2 linked regions of the Struthio camelus genome follow. The protein of the gene in region 2 purifies or fractionates together with the protein of the main gene of each other region. This does not show direct contact. Links are inferred from orthologs where the notes say so. Each region holds a gene or a part of one and is shown on either strand. Other genes may lie near its edges.

Region 1 (7,385 bases), on a different chromosome or scaffold from region 2:
TAATGCTTCCCAGTAGAGGTCCAATGCTTCCATGGTGAATTTGATCCCAGCTACTATACTATATACATATATATTTTTTTTTTTAAATCACCTTTTGGGAGACCCTTGGAAGCAGTCCACAGATGCCCAAGGAGTCCCCAGGCAGCAACCTGAAAAGCCCTGGGCTGGATGGGAGCTACTGCTGCTGCTTCTACCACAGAATAGTCCCTTCGCTCAAGCAGTAGCAACCTCAACTTTGGAAAACATAGTCCCAAGTTTCATCACTGCTGATGGTCTGGTCAAATGTCAAACTAGTCTGAGAACTAGCGTGTGTTTTGAGGAACAGGGGTATCTTACCGCATAGGTTCAGAACTGGATGTACGGCAGAGCACAAATCATGGCAGAAGTTAATTCTCACCACGGAAATATCGAATACCTCTCCTTGGCAGAGAGTTTAATTTTGTGCTGGTTTTGCAACACGGTACATCGGAGTTCCAGAACGCTCTTTCTCATATGTGTGCCATGGAGGGAAACACTGGACCCACCAGGGCTACAGTAATACAACTAAAACCACTGAGCACACAGGGAGACCGATTTTACTCAAGATATCCCTACACGTTTAATGTACATTTCGTTGCATGTTCCCCAGACCAGATGGGTTTAGTGGAATTGTATGACCATAAAACCACACAGGATCTGGATTTTATGGTGTTATTTCGACTGAGATTGTACAGTTTCATAAATTTTAAGACAAGGGAGAGCAGAAAGCTTTCATGGTGAGGGTGCAAATCCATTGCTTAGCAGCTCTGTAGAGAACCACATTTTAGTCTTAACCAAATCCCCGCAGTGTCTGAAGCAGCGTGAAGGGATGTGGAGGCAGGATGTGGTCAGGAAAAGGTAGAGGCAGGAGTGCGCTCCTCTCCCTGCGCGGGCTGCAAGGACAACACCATGGGGTGCTCCTCGGGGTGGTGTTTTCTCCACCGAGAGAAAACCCAGTAGCTGTCCGTGCTCTGGTGAGGAGCTGCTGTGCCTGGCTCCAGGGAAGGCAGGAGTAATTAACACTGACTTCGTGGCTGCGAAATGGTTGCTGTTTCGGCAGGATTGTCCCCTGAAGTTTCTGGTAGCAGCAGACAAATGAAAGAGAAGAGCATTGGTAAACGTTTAGAGGGAGGCAAATGAAAGGTATTTAAAGCCATGTTGCAAAACGAACCTGGCGAAGAGCATTAGAGCGTCTGGTGGCTCCACTGTTTAGCTTCCTGATATTCTTTATAGTTATATGTAACTTCTGGGAGCTGGAGTCGGACCCTACATCTTTACTGAGTCAAGTTAGCTTTGGGAGCAGGATCAAACCTATGGGATACACTGGAACTTAGCTTATTTTTCCCTGTGGTTTCATTTTCTTTTTTTACAGAAGAATTTCAAGCCAGGACATGTTTCAGTGGCCTAATCTTAAATGCGCACAGGAACAATCTCTCTGTTTGTTTTGCAGGGAGGAGCTCTCTCATTTCAGAGGCAGTTGAAGAATTAACACAACTGTTTTACTGTCAATTTCTAGTTCCAAACGTAGCTCATTGTCAATAATGGTACCAGCAGTAATGAAGAAGTGTTGTATAGAAAACAAACGTATCGGTTTAGTCTTGTGTAACACAGTACTATTTCAAAAACTCAGTAATCATCTGCCTACTTGGTGCAGTGTTGTGATTGTTCGGCAAATGTTAGTGACCCTTAAACAACAGGATAAGAGTACTTATTTTCCAAAGGTACTTCTAACCACATAGAAGGAGGGAATTGCTTTTTTTTCACCTTTACTATTCTGTGGCATTGCTCTACTTAGCTAAAAATACTCTAAGTTTCCATTTATGATACAGCTAGTAAAATAAGAATGGACAGTTGCTAAATCTTCTCTGTCAGAATTACAGCAAGCACCTGGTCATGACCACTAAAACTAATGTTGCTAAACCGTTTCCACAATAACTTCATGCTCAGAACTTTCCAACCAATTATCTTTTGAGATGAAATTTTCCACATTTGGCCTCCTTCGGGAGTAATACTTTTTCCTTTGGGTTTGAGAAAAATGACGCCAGCTGTTTTCGAGTGGGGCATGAATGGTAAAATTATGCCTTTGTAGTAATAAAAATTTCACAGACTGTACCAAGCTGAAAAGCAAAACTTGCTCTAGACCCCTGTGAAGAGCAAAGTTTTTGCCTGGAATTGTATTTGCCATTGATTTACATAGATTAACAAAGATAAGATAATAAACATGTTTTGAAAGAGCTGAGATTGATTTATCTATAGGCGAGTACTTGAGCCTACAGCTAGAAAAGCCTATAGTTTGCAAGAGTTGCAAACTGAGGGCTGCCAGGTAGGTCAGAGGAGCTCATTACGGCGTCCTCAAAGTGCCTTTCATCGTTTGAGGAGAGCAGGGAACAACTGTACCTACTGCAAGAGGAAAGCGAACATCGTTAGTCCAAGCTCTCTTTTCCTTTCCCACCAGATTTTCTTTCCTTTTTTTTTTTTTCTCCAAAGCAGACAATGAAGTATAAAATAGTGTTAAGATTGTGAAGTTGAGCATGCAAGCGTGGTGCCATTTAAAAAGCTAAGACTGCTATTCATGTCTATGCGACCAATGTACACACATTTAGGTATTTACATGCGTACACAGGCAGTCACACACGGAGGGGAGATACAAACCCACGGACGTTACATCAACTGGAATGTAATACCCTTGTTAAAATGCTCCAAGCAATTAGTACATCCCAGAATAAACAACTGGAGACATATTATCATAATACAGCCTCATTGAACTTTATGAAATTGATTAACTTTTTGGAACACTGTTGTTCAGGGTATAAGTTGTAGCTATAAATAAATGTATCAGTTAATACAGTTAGGACATCCTCAAGCTTTTAAATGTCCTGATCTTTCCGTACTTGGTACATAAGAAAGAGACCTGAAGACTTTGTTAACGGCCGTTTTTGCACCTCTGGAATATGCTTGTGTTGGATAACAGCGTGGGTGCATCTGCCCTTGCAAGCGTTGTGCGCCTCCTTTGGGCAAGCGTTTCTTTGACAGATCTATGTTCCAGCACTTTGGGGGCTGGTGGAGGCAATTTCTGTTGTTTAACGAATCAGGAAGCTACGAAAACAGAACAGAACAGAACAAAACCCCCTTCACCACAGCCAACACCGCCATGCTTCCCTGTCTCCTACGGCGGACTCTTTGGTTTTCCCTGAAAGCATAAGGACATCGTGAGCTGACGTGTTTTAAGAAAAGGATTTTTTGTTATTTGTTATTAGCTTCCTGTCATGCCATTGAATGGGTCTTTCCTCCTCAGGGTAAAAAGTGAAGTCGTCCTCTTCCACATGTAAACTGAACTTTTCGCTGACATTTGAAGCAGGACGGGGAGAAGGATGCGTGGGAGGAGGGGAGGGCTGAGCAATTTTTCAGTGAAGTAGGATCACATTTTTCAGCCCTTTTGAAAAAAATCTTCCCTTATTTTCACTTTCTCTAAGTGTGGTGAAAGGCTCTTTGGCTCGTTCTGGATCAGCAGAAGGCGTCCCACCCGCCGAAAGACGCCCCCCGACTGGCGGGGGAAGGATGAAAGCAGGACGGGAGAAGCGAAGCGGGAGAGCGCTCGCGGGGCCGGCGGAGCGCACGGGGCCCCCCCGCTACCGCCGCCCGGCCCTCCCGGACCCCGGGGCCGCCCCGGGCGCCCCCTCCCCTGCCTTCCTCTCCCCTGCTCGTCCCGTCGCTCGCGGCCCGGCACGCAGGTGCGGGGCGACCATCCGGCGGCGCGGCGCGGCGCGGCGCGGCTCGGCGCGGCGCGGCTCGGCGCGGCGCGGCTCGGCTCGGCGCGGCGCGGCTCGGCTCGGCACGGCACGGCACGGCTCGGCTCGGATCGGCGCGGCTCGGCTCGGCACGGCTCGGCTCGGCTCAGCGCGGCACGGCTCGACTCGGCTCGACTCGACTCGGCTCGGCTCGGCTCGGCTCGGCTCGGCTCGGCGCAGCTTGGCTCAGCGCGGCACAGCACGGCGCGGCACGGCTCGGCGCGGCTCGCTCGTCTTATGGTGCGCGCTCCGTGCCGCGCCGGGCCGGGCCGGGCCGGGCCGAGCCGTGCGGAGCCGTGCGGTGCGGTGCCGCCCCGCCCCCGGGCCGGCGGGGCCGCCTTGCATCACCGCCGCGGGCCCCCGCGCCCCCCCCGCCGCCCTCTCTCCCGCGGCGGCTATTAATAGCATGACATCAGCCCGGGACTCGCCGCCAGAGTAAATACCAGCGCTGCCCACTCGGCTATATAAGGGGGGTGATGCAACCGCGGCGAGAGGCAGAGGCGCGGCGAGCGGTGAGCGGGCGCTGCTCTCCCGGCGGCGGCGGAGCAGCAGCAGCAGCAGCAGCGCGGACGGCGGAGCGCGGACTGCCGCGGCCGGGGCAGCGCCGCGGGGCAGGCGCGGAGCCCGCTCCCTCCGGACCCTCCCGGGGCTGGGAAACCGGCGGCGGCGGCAGAGAGGTAGGTGAGAGCGGAGACGGTCGCGGGGACCCCTGGCCGGCGGGGGCGCAGCCCGCCGCGCTGCCGCCCGCCGCCCGGCGCGGAGAGGCGCCCCGGGGCCGGTCCCGACGAGCCGGGCGGAGCGGAGCTGGGACCGGCGCCCCCGGCCCGGCCGGGCCCCCGCGCCGCTGCCGGGGGGAGCCCGCCGGCCGCTGCCCCGGTGGCGGCAGTGCGGGGCGGCCCCGCGGCTGCTGCCCGCGCCCGGCCCGCGGGGATGCCCGGTCCCGGCTCCGGCGGCGGCGGCGCCCTGGGAGCGGCAGCGAGCGCCGTGCGATCTCGCCGCGCTCACTTTTCCCTCCGTGCCGGTGACCGCCGCGGAGAAGAGCGGTTGCTGAACTGTTGCCTAATCGAGTCAGGCGTGACACAACAGAAAACTTGCTAGAGAGAAGGAGTTTCCTGCCCGAAATCGATTCCCTTCGTAGTAAGAGCGTTTGAGGAGCTGGAAGCCAGCAGAGAGTGACTCGGGAATGATGTGGGATGTCAGAAGGCTTAAGGTCAACCAGCGTGCACAGAGGTTGCGAACTGTAATTGCCCTTAATGCTATTTAAGATTAACCTCAATGGTTATCGGGGTTTATTGCATCAGCACCAGAGGAAAAGGAATTTGTGTGAAGAAATAAAACCAAGAGGCTCAGTCAGCCGTGTACAGCTAAGCCAAAGAGAAAAGACTTGAAGCAGTCACTTATAGTATCAGTATTAAACTACAATACGCTTAAGTAATAGAGCCGGGGACCTCACAGCTAGGCACTGCATCCTGAAATTAAAATATTGTCCAACGAGATGTAAAAGTTCAGTGTAGGTGGAAGGAATCATCAGTAAAAGAACAAACAAAAAGTAGGGAGGGAACAACTCTCTAAAGTTGTTTGAGCCTACCAGAATTTGGAGGGAGCCATTAAGAGAAAAGCTGTTAACTGTCGAACTAGGGATAAGGCAAGGAAGCATTAACTCACACTGGGAGGGAGCTGTGCCTTTACCGGCCAGGTCTGTGACCTGTTCAGCACCTTCAGCAGCCAAGGGTTTCAGAGGTGTTCGGGGCAGCCTGGAGCCCAGGGCCACGCGCGCCCCTGCTCTGGCAGAGCAAACAGCAACGCTATCGGAAAGGCCCCAGTGTGCTCACCCTGTAAGGTTAGACAGTCCTGTTCCTGGTATTTCCCCAACTGTTTTAGGTTCTTTACAAACCCGAAGAAAATGGTACACTGCTTTTGATAGCTTATCGAGAGAGATAACGTTTGGACAAAAACTGGGAGAAAGGAAGGGAGGGCAAACTGTTGCATTTTTTTAATAACAAAATCTAATTTTTATTCTTGTAAAACATTTCTAAAAGCAGAACTCTTCTTCAGAAACAGGAAAATATCTACCTTACTGTTAAGAAAAGGAAATCTATTTAGCCTACTAGGTAGCTTTGAGACAAGGCTGAATATTTTTATTATTTATACCATGGTGGGTCCTACAGCTCTCAGGGCTGGAGAGGAGCCCTACCATGCTAGACACTGTCCACAAGCCCTGCTGCGGAGCCCCGAGCAGCGAACCGGCGGCACATAGCTCCACGAAATGGGAGTCGGCTGATGGCAGAAATCCTCACGCAAACCTCAGCCCCCCGGTAGGCCCTCCCTTCCCTAAAGTCTGAGTCAATAGAGGTGCCTTTCAGGATGTTGAGAAGGTCAGTGAGCTGCTCCGGCAGGAGAGCAGCAAGTTTCTACAGCCAAGGACACTTCCTTCTCCGTGCTTCCCCTTCGGGTGGCCACCTTCCCACTCCCCTTTTTTCTTTTTAAACCGAGGGGAGACCGACTGGAGTACCTGAGGATATTATAGTACAGTACAGTACTTACTGCTGCCAGTGCTACCCTTAGCACTAACAGAAATCCGGTGTGAACAGTGTTTCTCAGGCACTTGGCTGAAATATGAACATTCTTGGTTTCCTCTGGTGAGGAATATATGAGTAAAGGAATAAACCACCAGTGCTGGGAAACTGTGAGCCCAATTAATTATTTTGTAGGTTGTTACTGTTAATTTAAGAGTCCTGATTTGAGTGCATTAAACATAATTGACGTTGTCAAATGGAACCATCTCCGGGAGCCAAAGAGACTGACAGTCAGCAAACAGAGCTGCTAGCAATGAGGGGTTCAGCGCTATCTGGACTTAGCCTGTTTCAATGTGTTGAATGGTTGCCTGTTGGTAAATGGTAGATAATGTTGGGAGAAGTTTAGCTGGAAATTATAGGGATGTTTCTGACTTGTTGGAAAAGAGTAACTGCTTGCTTTCTGAAATTATAGGATTAAACTGTATCAGTACTTTAAACGTGACTCATGAGCAGGGGCTTTCTGGAGAGAATTACATAAATTTCCCAAGGTCTCTCTGAATAACAAATTGTTCCAAATAATTTCCCCGTCTTTAGTAACTAAAGGTGAAATCCGGGCCCCACTGAGGTCAACAGAAAAACTCCTTTTGACTGCAGTAGGTTCAGGATTTCACCTCCAGAATGTGGGAAAACTTCGGCTATTCTGTGGTCACCGAGTCTGAAAGCGAGGGGACCTGTGCAGCCGGACAGTGTCATTCTCTCCCATCAGGCAATTCGCTGTCCTCAGGATTTGTATTTACCTCACTTAGCAATGAACCAGCCTCTACTCTGACTTACAGCAGGGTGGATTTACGGTACACTTTTAGATAGCTCTGAGCAAAATCTATCTTCCTGTCAAGGCGCGTGATGCCCAGACGTTTCTTGCTGTGTTACACAGGTAGCATACAGGGAACTGTGCAGCTCTGGGCTGACTATGCGGAAATTTAACTTACCCACATTGCTACCCTGAGGCAGCTACTTGCTTACCTGCATTAAGTTAATTATAATTGACTTTGCTGTAATTATT
Region 2 (7,518 bases):
CTGCTCTGGAAAATTTTCCGTCTGGTAGGAGAAGGTATTTTGCTCATGTTGTCCCACCGGCTGGAGGCACCAGTGCCAATCTCCAGGTGTCGTCTCTGCAGCACCCGGTAGGGCAAAGAGCAGCAAGTAGATAAAGCAGGGATTGAGCAACCTACCACTGCAAAGGCCAAGCATGCCGGGTCAGAGGTGAGCAGAAAATAAGCAGAAGACTAACAAATACCCGAGCATCATCATGTCACATGGGAGCAAGGGGTGAGGGAGCACTGAGTCAGGGGGAGGACTCTGTGCTGCAACGAAAGAACCGCACGAGGCCAGGAGACCTGGCCGCAGCGGGCAGCCGAACAACCTGCCATGGGAGCTTGCAATGCTGAATACAAAAGCTGGAGTTCAAAGAGAGAGGGGACCAGGTGCCCACAGTTTTTTATTTCAAAATAAGGCAAAATCTCAGGTCTGAGAAGTAGGGGAGACAGAAGGAAAGCCAGCCTCTTCCTAAGTTGAGACATTGTCTCTATCTGATGTTGATACAGTGGAGCAGGGTGAGTGCAAAGCAATAGCCTGAAATTCGGCCTCTACCAGGTACAGCGCTTGAGTTTTTGCTGGCATAAGGTTGGCAGCTGCATAAAAAAGGACCTGGGGCCAGGAAGAAGGAAAAGGCAGAGCACAGAACATGCTCAGAAATAAACTTCCATTTTACTTCTCTATTTTTCAGCTTTTATTACAGCATGGCTCCACTTAAGTCAGCCTCTCAGACAAGATCACCTCCTACCCCCCAGCAAGCTCCCCAGGTCGCCCCCGTGCTCTCCCAGGCTCTCCCGAAAGCCATTACACTCTCTTCTTTAACTCACCTCCAACACACTGTCTGCAACACCTTGTTCACTGGTGCACGCCATCAACTTCTGGCATTAACCTCTTCCCTCTTAGCCCCTCTTCTGCTCCTGAACATCTTGTTTTTGGACCGCAGATCTCTGGGCGAGCTGCGTGTTCGCACCATGCTTACCATGCTGCAGCACTGATCTGACTGATCTGCTAGCAATTACTGCAAGGCAAATAACACATGAGAGAAGTCTGCAGCAAGAAGCATCAAAATTATAGCCAACTTTTTCCTAGCGTACAATCCCCAATCCATAGACCTTCTTACAAACACTTCAGTGTATGATGTGTCACTATTAAACTGGTATCTTCTCCTCTAGGCTGATGTCCTTCAGGGACAGCTGCTGTAACCTAGAGGGCAGGACTGGAGAGCTTGTAAGAAATAGTGGAAAAGAAGACAATTTCCAGAAAGAAGATGCCTCTACAACGCTTTAGTGTAGGGTTGAGCCTAGAGCTGGAAAATTGTGGCTTTACAGTACAGAAGGGAAACTGGAGGGCAGAATCTAAGTCCTGACAGAAATGAGCAGTGAATAAGAGATTCTTCCCTCCACCTTTTCCTCTTTCTGGTATCAGTGTGCTACCCTTCCAGTATTTATATTGTTTTACGCATGAATCCGGAAGCATCTGGATTTTATTGCATCAGAAAAAAAATTTTTTTTGCTCAAAAATGTTGATGTTCTAACTAAGTAATCTGTGAATGATGCCGTCTCCTTCCCCAGTTGACTAGTTCTGAAAAGGGAAATCATGAAATCATTAGAAAGCAGGCGCTTTTGACAAAATATTGACTTTCTGCTGAAGGTTGCTCTGTCAGGACACCCATTGCAAAAGTGCTCTCACCCTCAGGTATTTCACAGGGTGACACCAGTACCTGGACCCCTCAACCAAGAAATGTCTGCACCTCAATTTCTGCCTAAAGTATCTCTCTAAAGCGAAGGCTTTTGGGGAGGATTAGTAGCCCGTGCACATCTGGCCAGGCCAGGCCACAGCAGTCTCAGGGACAGGACTGAGTGTGCTCAGGCCCCTGCCCAGGCTGCCTGGGACAATCCTCCGCAGTGTGCGCCTTGCTCTGCACCTGCTCACGCTTCCAAAACCCCATTTCTGGCCATGCATTTGTTATGACAAGTGCAAAAACAAATTAAAAGACACAAGAGTTAGCTCAAAACTGGCTTGCTGAATGTGAGGGTTTTGGATAAGTGGTTAATTCCGCCAACAAGGTTCCCATGAGAAGTTGTGACTGGATGTTGCTTCCCCGTGAGTGGCTGCTGGGCTTTGAGGTGAGCTGGAGGAAGTTTAAAGAGATGCAGGGACAGTGCGGAGGTGAGGGGGGAGACGGGATGGAGGCGACAAGCTGGGCATCCAGCCTCAATTCCTGTGCTGGCTGACGTGTGATCTCCGTGAGTACAGAATTACTCAGCGCGGGCCTGGAAAGGAGGTGTGGGCCATACCATCTCTGATACAATCTCTTTCACATGATAGTTGCACAGACATTTTGTTAGGGAAGATCGGCCTAGGCTCAGGTACAACTTTCTGCTACAGAGCAGCAGCAAATAGGGCAGCAGGTCAAAGAAAGCAAATGTGAGATCCCCAGAAACATCTTGAAAATTTGCCCAGGAGATTTACCAGTTTTAATGTTCAGTTTTAGCTAACGGCCACGGTAAGCTAGAGATCTGCCAAAGACCAAACATGCATTTCGGGGAGCCATCACTGTAGGAGACCACCTGCTTGTGAGTCCCTCTGCTTGGAGGTAGAAAGCACGTGAGAGCAATTTCCACGAGTTCAGTTGCAAGGGCCAGTTACAGCAGCCGTTGCCTATAACTGCCAGATGAGAACGCAGGATAAAGACATAGAAGAAAAGAGTAAACTGCCAGAAGAACGAGCCCCGGCTCACTACAACTTGCCAGCATTTGCACCTAATACAGATGTTTGTCTTCATGAAGGTATGGGCTGCAGCTACAACCTGCAGACCAGATCTCTGGCCAGGCCCAGCTCCAGTTTAATCTCTGGTGCACTCACCAAAGATTAGCCTGGTAGATAAAGATGGAACTAGAAATATTTGAAGTCTGCAAACCTGTTAGGGTACTTTCATTATGGAAAGAAAAAGCCATTGAAAATGTGAAAAGAAAAAGAAAAGAGGAGAAAAAAGAAAAGAAAGAAAAGCCTGATGGTCTACTGACTGATTTCTGAATTCTTCCTCTTTTCAAAGTTTTGAGGTTTGAACATTATGAACAGTTGACTGTTTGAATCGCATAATGCAATACCTGTTCCTCTGGCTTAACGTTACAGTATTTCCCACACCGCAGGATTGCTTCACATTATTCTGAGAGGCAGTGTCATTTTCCCTGCAGTGCTAGGCCTTCTTTACTAAGGCGAAGGACACTCCTACTTCCTTTAATTATATGTTTTGTTTTAAATTAATGTCCTTTATTCTGGGGATGAATCACCAGCTTGTAGACAGGTAAATGTGGGAGTAAGAGAGAGAAAATATAAGTTTGATTCCCAAGGTGGGTGTCTTTAATTAAAAACGGACATCAAGATTCAGTCTTCCTTCCTAAACTTACCCTGCAATTCTAAAAACACGTGGATTCCATGTTTCTATGCACGTATCTCACTTTCCTTCTGAATCACTTTAAATACGGCCCCCTTCGGTTTCAGAGCACAAATTCCCTATCACTTGTGTACCCTGACAGTTGCACCATATCATGTAAAGTAAATACGCCAAGACAAACGTTAAGGCCATCATCCCTGCGTGAAGAGGTGGGGAGGGGAGCGCAGGGTTTGCTCAGCTCTCTAACCGCTCATAGCCGCAAGAAGGAAGTCTGGAGCAGCGCCGTGTCCTGCTCCAGCTCCATTTCACCGAGTTCCCTGCTGGCTGTTGTAAAGTGGTTCGGAGCACGTCTCTATGGGACAGTTTTGCCTGCCAGTGGGATTTACTTGATTAAACATTGGCCGGAGAATAACAGGATCTGTCTTCTATTTGCAGCTTTTTCCCTGCCTTGGCAAAAGAACTCGGAAAAATCCCTCCTGCCTTGATTTCCCCAAGGGTAAAACAGGACCCAAACGGGATTTGCACCCACCTCTGCACGGCACTTTCCGCCCTACAGCACTAAACCCTACTCTCAGGTGCAAAAGATCCAGCCTGTACTGGCACGACGGCGGCAGCAGCGTCTCAGGACGGGCGACACTCGTGTGTGTCCACGTCCCGCAGACCCTCCAGGGGCGAGTAGCGTCCACTGACCTCTCGTGCAGATTTTACAACAGCTCAGAAAAATCAGCCGGCAGGAAGAAAGGTTGCCCTGCTCTTTCTCTTACCTGCAGGACTGTGCGAGTAAGTCCCCTCCCTCAAAAGCCAACCCTGTTTTATTCCGGGTGGCTAGGTACAGTCGCACACGCACACACCCCCCAAGTGCCTCCTGCGGGGCCAGCGCCAGCGGTTGCGAAGTGTGCAGCGTGGCAGGCGGCCAGGCGCTGACGTTCCTGTTGCTATGGGATCCACCGCCCCTATAAATAACTGAGCAAAGGAACTTTCCTAAGTCAGAGACTTTAGGACACGGGACCCAGAACCAGATGGTCCGGAGGCGAAACGCCGGCTCGAGTAGCACCAGCAGGAGCGGTAAAGCCCCGCCGTGCCGCAGGAACTGATCCAGCCCCGGTGCTGGGCAGCGCAGCTGGGGGCCGTACCCAGCACCAGAGACTGAGGCAGGGTTTGGAGCCCCCCACCGCAACGGCGGCAGCTTGATCCTCTGCCGGGGGGGGCCCCTGCGCTGTTTTCTCCTCCCTGCATCCCTCTTTGCTTTCATGCAACGCCTGGTGGCCTGGGACGCAGCATGCCTCCCCATCCAGCCACCCGCCTTTAAATCCATGGAAGTGGCTAATTTCTATTACGAGGCGGACTGTCTGGCTGCTCTGAACAAGCTGCACCCGCGGGCGGTCGGGGGCCGCTCCATGACCGAGCTCACCGTCGGGGACCACGAGAGAGCCATCGACTTCAGCCCCTACCTGGACCCCTTAGCATCCCAGCAGCCGGCGCAGCCGCCTCCTCCCGCAGCAGCAGCAGGGGGCAACTTTGAGCCTGCCTGCAGCAGCGGCGGCGGCCAAGATTTCCTTTCCGATCTCTTCGCCGAGGACTATAAAGGCAGCGGCGGCAGCAAGAAGCCCGACTACACCTACATCAGCCTCGCCCGGCACAGCCACCCCTGCGCCAGCCAGAGCCACAAGCCGGGGGGGCTGCCGGGCTGCTTCCCGCCCCAGATCGTGGAGACCAAAGTGGAGCCGGTCTTCGAGACCCTGGACTCTTGCAAGGGGCCCCGTAAGGAAGAAGGGGGAGCCGGGCCGGGACCGGGGGGCATGTCCTCTCCCTACGGCAGCACCGTGCGCTCCTACCTGGGTTACCAGTCGGTGCCGAGCGGCAGCAGCGGGAACCTGTCCACCTCGTCCTCCTCCAGCCCCCCCGGCACCCCCAACCCCTCCGAGTCCTCCAAGTCGGCCGCCGCCGGCGGGGGCTACTCCGGCCCCCCGGCGGGCAAGAGCAAGCCCAAGAAGTGCGTGGACAAGCACAGCGACGAGTACAAGCTGCGCCGGGAGCGGAACAACATCGCGGTGCGCAAGAGCCGCGACAAAGCCAAAATGCGCAACCTGGAGACGCAGCACAAAGTCTTGGAACTGACGGCCGAGAACGAGCGGCTGCAGAAGAAGGTGGAGCAGCTCTCCCGGGAGCTGAGCACCCTCAGGAACTTGTTCAAACAGCTGCCCGAGCCCCTGCTCGCCTCCTCGCCGCGCTGCTGACCCCCGCGCCGGGCCGGGCCGCGCCGCCGCCGGCTCCCTCCTCTCGGGCCGGGAGAGGAGGAGAGCCCGGGGGGCGGATTGGTTCTGTTTTCGGGGTTTTTTTTTTGTTTTTCTTTTTTTTTTTTTGGTCTTTATTTACGTGTGGGCGGAAGGCCCCGCCACGGCGAGCTGCCGCGCGGGCTGCCCGCGGGGGCCCCGGCCCCGGCCCCGGCCCCGGCCCCGGGCGGGCTCCGCAGGCGGCGGGGCGCGGGGGTTATTTAAAACGGCGAGAGGAGAGCGAGGGCAGAGTGATGCAATCCTTTAAGCATGGCTGGGAATGCTGTGTACATGATGCAATCTCGTGTAACTGTCAGTCATGAATTGAGTAATCTGTTAAAGATGTTCCTACAGTTTTTTTTTTTTTATTATAAAGAATAATCTATTTCTATAAGAAAATACATATGTATATTTTGGGATCTATGCATTCTTGCTACATTTGAAGCATTAATGAACAATTTTAATAAACTTTATGACTAGGTTAAAAAAGTAGCTTGTTTTATTTTGAGAGCACGTTTAAAGTGAGATTAGAGACAGAGCTGAAAATCTAGCTCAATCTGGCTCAATGCTGAGATCAAGGACCAAGATTTTTTTTTGGTCTTTTGACTTTCTCTGTAACTCAGCAAAAAAAAAAAAAGGAGGGGGAGGGGGACGAAAAAAAAAAAAAAGACCTAGCAAAGAGCAGAGCTGGGAGCTTTAGCCAGTTCTTTCTTGCTGCCTCTTCTTATTTCCTCTTATCACTTGCTTTAGCTGCAGCTTGGGGGTTGTTTGGGGAGAAAGTGTTTGTTTTGGGGTTTTTTGCAATTCTCGCTGTTCTTGGTGTGTAGAGACGTGCTGTCCAAAGCGTGAGCAGTACCTAGCAAAGCAATGCCAAGTCTGAAGTGGGAGGGAGGAAGAAAAAAGTAAGGAAGGAAGTTTGAAATGAGTTGTTGTTGTTTTTTTTTCCTTTAAGGAGTGTCTATTCTCCAAGTTACAATTCAGCATTTCTTGTGTTTGTAGTTTACAGGAATAAACATGAGGAAGTAGCATATCTGTTGGATGTCAGTAATTTGGTCAAGGCTGAGAAAGCTTGCATGAAACCTGGCCAGGTGAGAGGCGCTTGAATAACTCTCCCTAGTACTTTCTCTTGAGACTTTTTAAAAAATGTTTCTAAAAACCGTGGGTAGAGTTTCTCCGTTGAAAGCTGTTTGTTTATGTGTGCATGCGTGTTTGCTGGGGCAAAACAACAGATAACGTGTGGGGGTGGCAGAAAAGGAGGAACTTGCAATAGGCCATAACTTTGTTTCAAAGAGCAATAAGGCTTTGCTGCCGCTACGGAGCCCGACTTGCCAAGGCCCCCGAGCCGTGTATTTCCTGACTCCCCACTGTTCGCTGCTGTGTGGATGTCTGTAAAAAGTTAACCGTCTTGAGCTGGTTACATGGAGGGAGTTGAGCAAATGATCAAATCTTACTCAGCATTTTCCATTTTCCTGTTAGGCCAAATTTAACCACTAAGTTTTAAAATCTGGATTCCCAGTGCCCCGCAAAAGAAATTTCCTCACTGTCTATACTCTGTTTGACAGCTGAATAGAGAATATATTTTTTTAAACAAAAAAGTAGATTTGAATTTGCTGCTGTATATTCCAATATAAAGAGTAATTTTTGCAATTCTCAATGCAGAAAAAGGAAAAATCTTGATTTTGATTGCTTACTTCTAGCGTTTCTTTAAACAAAGCATGAGTTCTGCTGAAGGAACTGTTCTACATTTTTGACACTTAGGATCTTCTCCTCCTCCGGCAGGTAAATCTCCCAGAGCTCTTACTAAAATATGTTTTGTGTTGCCTGCTTCCG

What was found.
Region 1: the proteins of CEBPB (region 2) and ATF3 purify together in Homo sapiens (affinity purification with western blotting; 3 studies listed by BioGRID and IntAct, with this or other methods). This does not show direct contact. The link is inferred for Struthio camelus from reciprocal best matches to the Homo sapiens genes CEBPB and ATF3.

What each region holds. Positions count from the first base shown.
Region 1 is NC_090944.1:114,230,583-114,237,967, forward strand, and holds the start of ATF3 (cyclic AMP-dependent transcription factor ATF-3), read left to right. Parts: upstream 1-4,295; 5' UTR 4,296-4,483; intron 4,484-7,385.
Region 2 is NC_090959.1:10,031,346-10,038,863, forward strand, and holds the start of CEBPB (CCAAT/enhancer-binding protein beta), read left to right. Parts: upstream 1-4,377; 5' UTR 4,378-4,665; coding exon 4,666-5,652; 3' UTR 5,653-6,776; intron 6,777-7,385; 3' UTR 7,386-7,518. UniProt on the Homo sapiens protein: Important transcription factor regulating the expression of genes involved in immune and inflammatory responses. Also plays a significant role in adipogenesis, as well as in the gluconeogenic pathway, liver regeneration, and hematopoiesis.